Linked DNA regions of Sus scrofa. The protein of the gene in region 1 purifies or fractionates together with the protein of each later gene. This does not show direct contact. Links are inferred from orthologs where the notes say so. Each region holds a gene or a part of one and is shown on either strand. Other genes may lie near its edges.

Region 1 (6,385 bases):
GCGCCACAACGGGAACTCCTTTTTTTTTGTTGTTATTATTATTTTTAAATAGTTATTTCCCCAACACAATTTTTTTCCCACCATACAGCATGGTGACCCAGTTACACACATGTACACATTCTATTTTCCCCCATTATCAGGCTCCATCATAAGTGACTAGACATAGTTCCCAGTGCTACACAGCAGGATCTCATTGCTCATCCATTCCAAAGGCAACAGTTTGCGTCTATTGACCCCAGACTCCCAGTCCATCCCACTCCCTCCTCCTCCCCCTTGGCAACCACAAGTCTATTCTCTAAATCCATGATTTTCTTTTCTGTGGAAAGGTTCATTTGCACCTTATATTAAATTCCAGGTAGAAGTGAGATCATATGGTATTCGTCTTTCTCTTTCTGACTTCACACTATGAGAGTCTCTAGTTCCATCCATGTTGCTGCAAATGGCATTTCATTTTTTATGGCTGAGTAGTATTCCACTGTGTATACATACCACATCTTCCTAACCCAAACATCTGTCGATGGACATCTGGGTTGTTTCTATGTCTTGGCTATTGTGAATAGAGCTGCAATGAACATGTGGTGCATGCATCTTTTTTAAGGAAAGTTTTGTCCAGATATATGCCCAAGAGTGGGATTGCTGGGTCATATGGTCATTCTATGTACGGGTTTCCTAAGGTATCTCCATACTGCTCTCCATAGTGGTTGTACCAGCTTACATTCCCACCAGCAGTGGGCGTCTGTTTTTAGACAGGAGCAGCTGCAGTGTGCAGGCAGGAGCCAGGCAGACATGCAGGGGAGTCGGCAGTGCTCTCCACAGCTGCTCTGGGCTGGGAAGGAGGGCATAGGGTGGGGGGCCATCAGCAGAGAAGTGTGGGCCAGCACAGATGTTCTGAAGCCTCAGGGCATGCCAGCCATGGGTCAGGCCTCCAGCAGGGGACCTGGCAAGGCCGGCTGAATGGCTGGGCTGAGACCTTTCCCCAGCAGATAACGGGGCCTTGAGCAGAGGAAGAGCTGAAGCGGTGGCCTGGTCCCCAGCTCCAGCTCTCGCCGGCCCAAAGGTCCTGGCAAGATGGGCTAGGAAACAGGCAGTCTGGCCCACAGATGTCACAGCTGGGGGGACAGGGGGTGGCCAAGTCTTTCTGGCTTAACCTCCTCATGGACCAGGGGTCCAGGAATCCTCTGAACCCCTGACAACTCTTCCCATCCCCCGCTTCCCCAACATCCCTTTAAGACCCACCAATGTCACACTGCAGGGCCATCCAGCCGCACCTGAACCCAAGCCCAGGACACTGTCCTCAGCCTGATGCCACAGGACAATGGGGGCAGAGTCCTCAGGGCCTAGGGTCCGCTCCCTGGAGCCTCTCCTCCCCCACTGCAGCCACACCCTGCAGGGTCAGGGCCAAGGGTCTGTGTGGAGCCAGGTGTGGAAGGCAAGGCGGCCCTGAAGGCTGAACAGGGTGTTCCATGGGGCCCCTTTCCCCAGACTGCCAACAAGGCAGAGATAAGGCCTAGGCGTTCAAAGGCCAGAGTGGGAACCAGCAAGGAAGGGCAGGGCCGGGCCTGGAGCCTGGCGGCCCCTCACTGAGTGGTGGGGGGGGCTTGGGCTCCTGTTTAGCCATTTCTTGGGGAACTTCCCCTGGAGGAGGAGCAGGACCCAGCAGGACTTTAGCCCCCCTCAGACTCCAGCCCACCCCAGCATGGAGACCTCATCCAGGGACCCCAGTGGAGAGGGCCCCTCATCCCCACCGGAGGAAGAGCTCAAAGGCTCTGGGGCATCTAAGCTGCCCGAGCTGGGAGGCCCTGGACAGCAGCCTGGGACCTTTGTCCCAGGCCCCGTGGCTTGGGAGCAGCCCCTAGAGAAAGGGCCATAGGTAGCGACACCCAGACTGAATTCGAGTCCCCAAACCGAGTACCCCTGCAGAGTTTGTACTTAACTCCTGGATGCAAAGTGCCATTCCTGCACTTACCTAACACCTGTTCTCCTCAAGACTGAGATGCCTCCCAAGGTGGGGGCGGGGAGACTGAGCAGGACTCTGCAGGGGCCTCCTGAGCACAAACCCATTCCGTGTCCCCCACTTCTTGTTTGTAGGAAACAGGCTTCATCCAGCCCCCTAAGACCGTCCTGGCCTGAGTTCCAAGGGCAGATTCCAGCCGAAGCTAATCAGGGAAGCGAAGGAATGCAGAAAAGGGAGGGACCGTCAAGATGGGCTCACACACCCTGGGCAGGGTCCAGGTTCCTCCTTGAGGGACACACAGACCGATATCCTTGAGCTCCTCCGAGGAGCTAAGGCTCCCGCCCCGGCCAAGGAAGGAGACCCCAGGCTGGCTGGAACCTTAGGGCTGAAGACCGAGAGTCCTGGAACAGCACCGTGACCTCGCCACTGACCAATCAGAACAAAGCTGGCACACACACACACTCGCAGGCACGCACACACGCGCGCACACACACGCGCGCACACACACACTCGCAGGCACGCGCACGCGCGCGCACACACACACTCGCAGGCACGCGCGGGCGCACACACTCGCAGGCACGCGCGCGCCTGCACACACACACTCGCAGGCACGCACACGCACTGCAGCCCTCAAACCAAATCCTGCCTGTTAAAAACTTCTCCCCCACTGCTGGGAGCCGAATTTCGAGAAAGGAATCTGCCTGATGACAAAGTCCGGGGGATTCTGAAGAAGTCTGCAAAGCAGCAGGTTTGCTGTTTGCTAGGCCCCCCAGAAACCAGAAGCCGTGATGCCTGGGGATACAGTCCTTTGTGTTTTCTTTGTTTTCAATAACTGATCTGTGTCCTGCTCACACTGTGCCTTGTCTACTGTTTGTTCTTTCACCCTAAGAAAAGAATTAATTCCCTTCTGTTTAAATCTTGAATTAGTCTTGCCTGCTGGCCTTTGGTCATCTCTAGAGTATGGCTCCATGCTGTTTATTACGGAGAGAATGGTTTTTTGGAAGGGATTTCTGTTTTCTGCAAGATAATCTTCGATAGTATTGGTATGCATTATTCAGCTAAAGTTTATTTAGAATAAAATAAAATACAGTTTAGAAATTGCTGATGATTGTTGTCTTGATTTAGGCAGAGAATGTATCAAAGATTATTATGATATAAAAATTAAAATAGGGTTACTGTTAAGATAGTAACCAGGCATTTTATTTTGAAGAAACAACAATACGCATGCGACATTTGCAAAGGTTGCTTGCGGCCTACATGTGACTTTAGCTACCTGCCCGGTTGCTCTTTAATGGGTTGATGGCGTACTTTCCCCCATCCAGGTGCCTTTTTCTGTCTTTACACTTAAACTGTAACCCTGGAGCAGTCACGAGATATTGATCTTCTTCGCCGATGTAAGTTGTAGGTTCTTTCCCTGTATAAGCTGCTGCTGTTCATCCTTGCACTGGAGACCGCTTGAGCGCTGCTCCAGAGGGTGTGCGATTCCGCTCTTCCTGCGCCCGCCGCCCCTCCTCTTCGGGAAACCCCCTGACCGCCGGGGCGGGACCCCGGGACCCCAGCGCCCCAAACCCTCTGGGAACTCAGGGCTTTGCACACACGCCACCTGTCTCCTGGAATGGCCTGCAGTAAAACTTTCTCTGCTCCAAAGGGTGACGTTTTGTTTGCTTGGCCTCACTGCGCCTTGGGCAGGGTTTCCGTACCAAGACCCTCGGGGGAGTGGGGTAGGGGGTGGCGGCCCTGCCCTGCGGCTCTGGGTGGCCCATCCAGGAGGGGCCCAGCCCTCGCCCCCCAGGGCGGCCACTTCAAGCGGGGAGGATCTGCCGCTGGAATGGTTAACCCAGGACGCCTCCGCAGCCAATCACAGGGCCCCGCGGGCAAGGCCCGGAGGGCGCCTGGCCGGGCCCAGCCCCAGTCCGGCACCGGGCAGCCCATGCAGCCTGCAGCCATCCTGGCGCGTGCCACCTCCCCAGAGCGCGCAGCCCCCGGGGGCCGCAGCATGGCTGGCCTGGCCCGGCTGGGGCTGCTGCTGGCTGTGCTGCTGGCCTCCGCAACGGCGACCCAACCGGCCCGGCTGCTGACCTTGCTGTCCTCAGGCCAAGGCGTTCTGGACCGCGTGGCGCTGGGCGGCCTGTTAAATACACTGGCGGCCCGTGTGCACTGCGCCACCGGGCCGTGTGGAAAGGTAAGGCCCCACCCGACGGGTCCCCCGGCTCCAGCCCGCCCCGAGGCCCGGCAGCAAAGGGCCCTGGGTAAACTCCAGGAGGCGGGCCGAGCGGCGGCCAGGCGCCCTGACCTTGCTGGCCCAAGCCCACCCTCCTCTGCTGGGCATTCGGAGGGACCTGCCTTCCCGGATGGGGGCTGCACTGGGTCCCCCACCCCGTGCTCACCAGATCAAACTGGCGTGTCTGGGAAGAGACCGCCCTGGGCGGGCGGGACCCCTCCGTGTGTTGTGCGTGCACCTCTGTCCCTGGGGTGGGGTGGGGAAGGGTGTGGGGAGCAGTGAGAGGGGGCGTGAGGGTGACAGAGCCTGAGGATGGTGGTCCACGTGTGGCCCCCCCCCGGGAAAGGGGGCAGCTCCAGCTCCGGGGTCACAGATGCCTGGCCCCTGCCCGCCCATCTCATCTCCGCCTCTGCCCACAGTGCCTGTCGGTGGACGACGCCCTGGCCCTGGGCAGGCCTGAGAAGCCAGGACTCCCCTCCAGCCCAGTGCTGGAGCCCAGGCACATCGCCCGCCTGAGCGCTGCCTCTGCCCTTTACCTCAGCGACCCCGAGGGCACATGCACAGACGTGCGTGCTGGCCGCTGGGCCTCACGAGCCGACCACCTCCTGGCCCAGCTCCAGAGCCCAGAGGCCCTGACCCTGGGTCTGACCAGGTTGCTGCAGAGGATTCAGTCCCAGGCTGTCGGCTGGTCCCCTTCAGAGGGGGTGAGGGCCCTGGCCAGGAGAGCCAGTGGGGGGACTGCTTAGGGGGTGAGGCCTCAACGCCTTTCTGGGCCCGTGGGAGACCTGGGGACACAGCGGGGAGGCCGGGCTGGGAGAATCACAAATTGTGTTCACCGCGGAGTAGGGCCGGGCTGCAGGAGTCCCAGGAGGGGCCCTCGCCAGAGAGCTCCTGGGGCTACAGGGAGGCGCTGGGGTGGGAGTGTCAAGGGGGGCAGTCTGGACCAGCTGGGCCAGGAAGGGGAAGGGGAAGGGCTGCGGTAGCAGGGAGGGGCGGGGCAGGGGCGGGGCCCAGGCCTTAGGTGGGCGGGAAGAGGTGGTGCTGGGAGGCGGCTGGTCTGGGTCAGAGGTGTCCAGGGGACACAAAAGGCTACGGCAGAGCTAGAGGTCAGGAAGGCCACACTGCCCGTTGAGGCTGAGCCCCAGCTCCTCCCCAGGCCTGTGTGGACCTGCCTCAGCTGCTGGAGGAGGCGGCCAGGGCGGGGGCTCCTGGCAGCCCCGGCCCGGTGCTCGCTGCTCTGCTGGACCATGCCAGGAGCGGCTCCTGCTTCCGTGCCCTGCCGACCCCTCAGTACTTCGTGGACTTTGTGTTCCGGGAGCACAGTGGCGAGACTCCCAACATCACACTGGCTGGTGAGGCAGAGCAGGGCCCACCACCCCTGCCCCCTCCATGCCCTAGGGGAGGGCAGGTCTGCGACCCACACAAACTTTGTGATTCTGCCCTCTCGGCCAGAGCTGGCAGCCCTGATGCAGCGCCTGGGCGTGGGCGGAGTGAGCGAGCCCCATGGTGACCACAGCGAGCAGGGTCATCTGGGAAAGGAAGCCAGCCAGCCTGGCCCCGTGCCCCCTGCCAGCCCCAACAGCAGCTCCAGCGTGTGGGACACGGTGAGCAACCTGTGCATCCTAGTCCTGGAGAGAGATGGGGTCCCAGGGTCTGCTCAGGTCCCTGACCCCCAGTCCTGTCACGCTCGCAGATGTGCCTGAGTGCCGGAGACGTGATGGCTGTGTATGGGCTGTCTGAGCAGGCTGGGGTGACCCCGGAGGCCTGGGCCCAGCTGAGCCCTGCCCTGCTCCAGCAACAGCTGAGTGGGGCCTGCAGCCCCCAACCCATGCACCCCACCCAGGACCAGCTCAGCCAGTCAGAGAGTGAGTGCCCACCTCCCCAGCTGTGCCTGCCTGGCCAAGCCCTGGGGCCTGGCAGATGGAGGTGGGACCACAGAGCGAGCAGGGAGCGGCCGCTGGGCTGGGAGGCATGGGAGAGCTGGGCCAGGACTGGGCAGAGGAGAGTGGCACCGGAGTAGGGGGTCAGGGCCAGTGTGGAGGCCTGGAAGGGAAGAAGGTGGGGCTTGGAGGCCCGCTGACTGAGCGGAGGCCAGGCCTGCCCCTGAGCACCTGCGGTCTGGGTGAGCTCCCGCTCACTTCTGGGGCCCCACCTGGACACCCTTCCCTGGGAGGCAGGGGTGGGGGCTGAGGCTGAGAAGGAGGCTCTCA
Region 2 (6,239 bases), on another chromosome or scaffold:
AAAAAAAAAAAAAAAAAAAAAGATGTTCCTGTCTTAATCCCTGAAACCTGTCAAAGTTACCTTGAATGGCAAAAGCGCCTTTGCAGAGGTGATTAAATTAAGGACCCGCGCTAAGGAGATTATCTTGGATCATTTGGGTGGAACCAATGGAATCACAAAGGTCCTCAAAAGTGAAGCAACTTGGAGTTCCTGTCATGGCTCAGCTGAAACAAATCTAATCCATGAGGAGGCAGGTTTGATCCCTGGCCTTGCTCAGTGGTTTAAGGATCCAAAGTTGCTGTGAGCTGTGGTGTAGGTCGCAGATGTGGCTCAGATCTGGCATTGCTGGGGCTGAGGCTGTGTCCGTGGCTGTGTCCGTGGCTGTGGCTAGTGGCTACAGCTCCCATTCGATCCCTAGCCTGGGAACCTCCATATGCCGCGGGCCTGGCCCTTAAAAAAAAAAGTGAAGAAACTTTCTCAGCTGGATCTGAGAGAAGTGACTATGGAAGTGGGATTAGAGAGGTATTCCTGATTTTGAAGCTTGCTGGTTTGGAAAATAAAAGAAGCCGGTTATGAGCTGAAGAATGCAAGCAGTCTCTAGACACTGGAAAAGGCAATAAAATGGATCTTCTTGAGAGCCTCTGGAAAGGAATGGAGCCCTGCTGACACCTTGGTTTTAGCCCAGTGAGATTTTTGACTAACAGAACCGTGTCATTTTAACTCTAGGTGTGTGATAATTTGTTAGGGCAGCAAACAGAAAACAAATGCAAAGGGTCTACCCCTTGAGCTGCAGAGGACATCACTTTGATTGACAGCCCAACCAAGGCTATATCCCTTGGAGAGCAGGAGATAAGTGCCTGTATGGAAATCAGGTGCCATTAGCTAGTAAGGGAAAGGATGCTGAACAGACAAAACCGGTGCCACTGCCACCAACCCCCGTTGGCCCCGTGCACATTGTTTAATCAACATCTCTCCAGCAGAATTTTTAAAGTCAGCAACTGATTACATCAAACCCTCTGGGTGAGAAGACTTGAGAAAATAGAAGAGAGCTTTATAAAGAATGTAAATCCTTTTACATATGCACTATTGCATATATAAGTATTGTCTCTTCAAAGAACTTCAAAAGAATGTCTTAAAAATTCTCAATTTCGTCACGAAGATTCTTATAAAGCTTGAAAAGGGCTGATTCTCTTTCAGTGAAGATGTAGTTAATGTAGCCAGCTTCCCTAGTACCTAGACATATGGACCTCTCCCATAAAGTGCTTAAGAATTACTGACTTCATCACTAATTAGCTGTTGATAAATGAGCAACACTAATGGAGACCTACTTAGAGGCAAATGAGATGGAAGTTACAGTCCACAATCTAAGAAGGCACAACATTACTAGGAGAGCCAAAAGGGGCAATGAGGGAAATTACTGTTCTTGTCCCAAAGCCCTGATTTTGGACACTGAAGGTCAGCAGAAGATCAGCACCAAGAGCTTCAAGTCAAACCCTCAGAAAAGCCAGGTCTCAGGGGCAACAACACACTCTCAGCTTTTGAACACCTGGTGTGACCAGCTGGCAGTCTAACAACAGGTAATGAAAACATCATATTGGACTCTACAGAATATGACTCCAAAGGGGTCATTATTGCCAGCTCATTATTCAGGTAAAAGATTTTGGCTCATAAAGATACTCATCCTGAAGTTAAGGAGACCCATGCTCAGGTGGTACTAAAGCATCTTGGTCACCATTTTCAAGATAAGCCTGTTTGGGTGGAAAACAATTTTGGCTGTGAGCATCCCCTCAGGAGCATGTCCCTTTTTCTTCGGCATTGGGATTTGGGACAGGTGAGCCAAGGGGCTCTTTTCCCAGGCACCAGAGCCAGGTAGATTCAAAAAGAGCTGATTCTAGGGAAATGATTTCAATCCTGGCCATATGTTAGAACTATCAGGGAAACCTTCAAACAAAAATACCAATGCTCAGGCTCAGAACTCCAGAGGTGGGACCCTGGCAATACTCTAAGAGCTCCCAGATAATTCTAACGTCTGACTAGCGCTGTGAGGGTTAAGAACCACTGCTTTAGAATTTTCTAGTATCGTTATTCCATCGGTCATTAGTCCGTGCCATCATCCTCTCAGGCAGGTGTGGCTCAACAACGCTTCTCAAACTTCCGTGTGCCGAAGGGGCAGCAGGGCAGTGTTTACAAATCAGACTCCCAGTCTCCGTCTGCAGGGAGTTCTAGAGACTCCCGCTTGCGCAGCGCCCAGCAATCTTCGTTTTATCTGGGGCTTGCGCTCGGAGGGTCGCAAACCGACAAATTAGCGCTGAGAGGTAACAGCCGTGGGGAGGTCAGGGCTACATGGGAAGGGCTGGTGGAAGAGAAAGGCACACTGGTGAGGAGATTCCCTAGAGACCCGTCTTTCCTCGGTCCCTCTACGCTGGGCGGTTTGGCCCGGGACCACTGAAAAAGGAGACGTGAGCGCGGCCAGGAGTGCGGCGCTGGGTGTGGTCGTCTCTGGGTTCCGGAAAATTCCTTCGGGGCGGGGGTGGGCCGCGGGGGTAGGATGCGGGGTGGGGTGGGTAGGTGGTCTCGCTGGGTCCCTTCCCTCCGCCGCCGCTTCCCACCCTACGCCCGTCCTTCGGAAGCATCGGCACCGCGCAACTCTGCTCTCGAACCGCGTCCCGAAGACACGCCGGGAGCCACTGCAAGGGGTTGGGAAGGGGCGGCGGGAGGGGGCGCGCCGGGATTGTTCGGCTCCCGCCGAGGGGCGGCCGCGGGCCCGGGTGCGCGCACCGTGGGGCCGGCGTCCGGGCGCAGCCCCGGCCTCGCCTCCTCCTCGCGCTCGCGGCGCCGCCTCCCTCCCTGCGCCGGCGGCGCTGCCCGGGGGCGGGGTCTCGCGGCTGCGGAGGCCGGAGACGCGGCGGCGCTGGGCGCCGCGCGGGGCACTGGGCTCGGAGCAGGCGGGAAGCGAGAGGCCGGCGGCGGCGGCGGCGGGAGGGCGGCTCGGGCGGCCTGGAAGCCGGGTCCCGCAGCACCAAGGGGCCGCCAGAGCTTCGGCCAGAGGTGAGTGGGCGGCGCGCGTGCCCCGCGTGCCCTCTGGCAGCCTTCTCTCTCCTTGTCCCTCCTCGGTTCCGGGCCCGCGCTGAAGGACCCCGCGCCGGGCCCCGGAGACACCCCCCCGGCTGGCACCTGGGCCGCAGCCTTTTACTGAAATCGGTTCGGGGTGGGCTCTGCATCTCCCCGCTCCAGAGCTTCCTTCCCGGGACCGCCCCGACCCGCTGGGCTGCCCTGCGGAGGCCGGTCTGGGGAGATGCGGGGCCTCGCTTTTTGTTCTTAGCTGTGTCACGCGCGTCGGGATCCAAAGTCGAAAGCGTGCATCCCCAAAGTCGCGCTAGGACCAGCGGTGCGGGCGTGATTGACGCGCGGGGAGGGCGGGCTGGCTCCGCCGCTCATCTTCTTCTCTTTCCCCTCCGCCCCGGGCGCGCTCGGGCCGCCGCGGTGCCCACGTTGGCAGCGGTCGCGCCCTGGCAGGTGACCGGGAGCCTGACGCCCGGTCCTGGGGCCTCGAGGTGCCGAACTCCTTTGAAGCCTGCCTCAGATTTGCTTTAGGTTCTCTTCCGTACGTACCTGTACCTTTGGCGGTGTTGGGGATTCACAGAACTTTTGATCTGCTGGAAAAATAGTTTTCTGGGTTGACATACTCTGTATACCTCACGCCCTATTTAGTATTTGTAATGATTTTTCTGTGTATGTGTGAAACAAAATAGGCGAAACACCTATTTTGATGAATGTTCTTTTTAGCGGAATTTAAGTATGATCGTATTTAGTGTGTCATGATGCTTCTGATCAATTTCAGAGATCCCGTTTCCAATTGTGCCAAACCAAACTTGTGTGGCTTTCACGGTTTTGAGATTTTCTTTGTCTGGTTTAGGGTCTCCAAGGCCCAGTTGCCCTAAATTGTGCACTTGTTGGGGGACATTCCTGGGGACAGAGTAAGATGCCCAGGAGCCTGATGAAATACTTAGGTTCTAGAGTGACTCTGGCTCATGGCCATGAGATTGACTCAAATTTAGGTAGTTGTCATATTTTTCAATTTTTTGTAGCATGGGACCTCGGGAGTAGTGGACTCTTGTCCGTCCTTGTGGGTCTCCTAGGGCATCCCAATTCCTATGTTTGTTATAGAAGATTAAGCTTATGCTTTTGGGAAGAATACTTTTTATTTGTAGACAGAAACGAGTCACTTGCTAAGACTTTTTGTTCCTAGGTCAGAACTCAATTTTTTTTTGGTTTGTTTTTGTCTTTTTAGAGGCGCACCCCCCCCGCATATGGAAGTTCCCAGGCTAGGGGTCTAATTGCAGCTACATCCGCCGGCCTATACCACAGCACAGCAAAGCCAGATCCGAGCTGTGTCTTCGACCTGCACCACAGCTCACAGCAACACCGTATCCTTAACTCATTGAGTGAGGCCAGGGATGGAACCTGCATCCTCACGGATACTAGTCAGATTGTTTCTGCTGAGCCACGATGGGAACTTCGGAACTCAGTTTTTAAGGTGTCTGTGACCAAAAGGCATTGAATTCTTAGGATGTTTGAAGAAAACAGGTTAACGGCTCAAGATGTATTTTGTTCTACTGTGGAGATATTATCCCATTTTTTTCTTTCCCATTGATTTTGCTGAAAGATGAGAGACCAAGGATGAGAAGAGGGAATGCTGGGGGGAGGGGTCAGATTTCAAGGACTTTGCACTTAGGCGCTACGGATGCCTTCTTCTTTCTAATCGTTGGCCCTAGGTCCAGTTGTTGATGAGGAAATGAAAAGATTTTGCATTTATATTGTTTGGTTTTTTTTTTTGAGGGGTGGGGCTGAGACAGCTGTGAGGATGTTGACGGAGTTTGGCCCAGGGCTACCTTCGGTCCATTTATGCGGCCACTTTCCCCCAGCAGGGAGGGAACTGCTGACCCCGCTGAAGGTCCTGCGAACCGTGAGGCTGGCTTTCTGCATGCAGAGCACAAAGGGTATCAGGGTAGAGCCTGGGGAAGCTGCCTGGGGGGAGAGTGGAAGGTGGGGTGTCACTCTCGCTGGCTGTGCTGAGTGGGAACAGGATCCTGTGACAGACAGTTTAGTGCAAGGGAGCTTGAAGGCAGTGTAGTCCCTGAAGACCAGCCCTGCTTCTAAAGAGGCCCGGCATGGCCATGACAGGGGGAGGCAGGGACAGGGAGGAGAGGCCCTGTGCCTGGGGCTTTAATTGAGTTGTGTAATTGGTATTATCACTTGTTTTCCTTCACAAAAAATAAGTTGCCTTAAGAAAAGATTTCTTTTTTAATGACCTAACATAGGAAATAACATCCATAATTGGGTTAAAAAAAATAAGCACTTATTTTCTTTTTTTTTTTTTTTTTTTTGTTTTAAACTTGGTTAAAATTATTTTCTAAAGATTTGCAAAACTAGAGGGAATGGCCTTGATATGCTCTCGCGTTCACCCGAGCAAAGTGTGAATTGCATTTCACCTGCTCCCAGAGATGGTCCCAGATGGTGGTTATTTTCTTTTCTAGACTTTCCCGAGTTACCGATGAAATTACCTTGAAAAGAGAGACTTGGCTTGAAGTTTTAAGGGTTATTTCCTAAATTCCCAGAGAGTCTACTTTGCTTTCATAAAGAAATCTCTCACAGTTTCAGGGGAGAAAAAAATACATGCCTTCTCAGGTTTTTACAATATTTCAATCTTATTTTCCTTCTAGGCTGCATTAATAGAACTTTCTCTAGTTGAGATTTTGAAGATTAATTAGTGCCTGACCAACCAGAGAATATATATGTAAAGATATGTGATTATAGAGAGTTCTCGTTGTGGCTCAGTGGTTAACGAACCTGACTAGGAACCATGAGGTAGTGGGTTCAATCCCCGGCCTTGCTCAGTGGGTTAAGGATCTGGCGTTGCTGTGAGCTGAGGTGTAGTTTGCAAAAGCTGCTTGTATCTCATGTTGCTGTGGCGTAGGCTGGTGGCTACAGCTCCGATTAAACCCCTAGCCTGGGAACGTCCGTATGCCGCCGGAGTGGCCCTAGAAAAGGCAAAAAGACAACAACAACAACAAATAAAAGAAAGATATGTGATGATAGTGATATATATTGTAGTGTGCTGTGGTTTTCACAGCACACTACAATATATACTACAACTTTTTTTGGGCAGGGCTCATTCTCACTAGAAAAAAAAAATTAACACCTAAAACTAATGCAGTGTAATATAAGTCAATTATGTCTCAAGACCAATTTTTAGCATT

What was found.
Region 2: the proteins of SLC39A4 (region 1) and GOLM1 purify together in Homo sapiens (affinity purification with mass spectrometry; 3 studies listed by BioGRID and IntAct, counting the BioPlex papers as one, with this or other methods). This does not show direct contact. The link is inferred for Sus scrofa from reciprocal best matches to the Homo sapiens genes SLC39A4 and GOLM1.

Annotation. Positions count from the first base shown.
Region 1 is NC_010446.5:370,221-376,605, forward strand, and holds the start of SLC39A4 (zinc transporter ZIP4), read left to right. Parts: upstream 1-2,460; 5' UTR 2,461-2,702; intron 2,703-3,276; 5' UTR 3,277-3,569; coding exon 3,570-4,136; intron 4,137-4,594; coding exon 4,595-4,879; intron 4,880-5,331; coding exon 5,332-5,527; intron 5,528-5,627; coding exon 5,628-5,779; intron 5,780-5,868; coding exon 5,869-6,040; intron 6,041-6,385. UniProt on the Homo sapiens protein: Selective transporter that mediates the uptake of Zn(2+). Plays an essential role for dietary zinc uptake from small intestine. The Zn(2+) uniporter activity is regulated by zinc availability.
Region 2 is NC_010452.4:29,115,433-29,121,671, forward strand, and holds the start of GOLM1 (Golgi membrane protein 1), read left to right. Parts: upstream 1-2,145; 5' UTR 2,146-2,294; intron 2,295-2,854; exon of another isoform or gene 2,855-3,027; intron 3,028-6,239.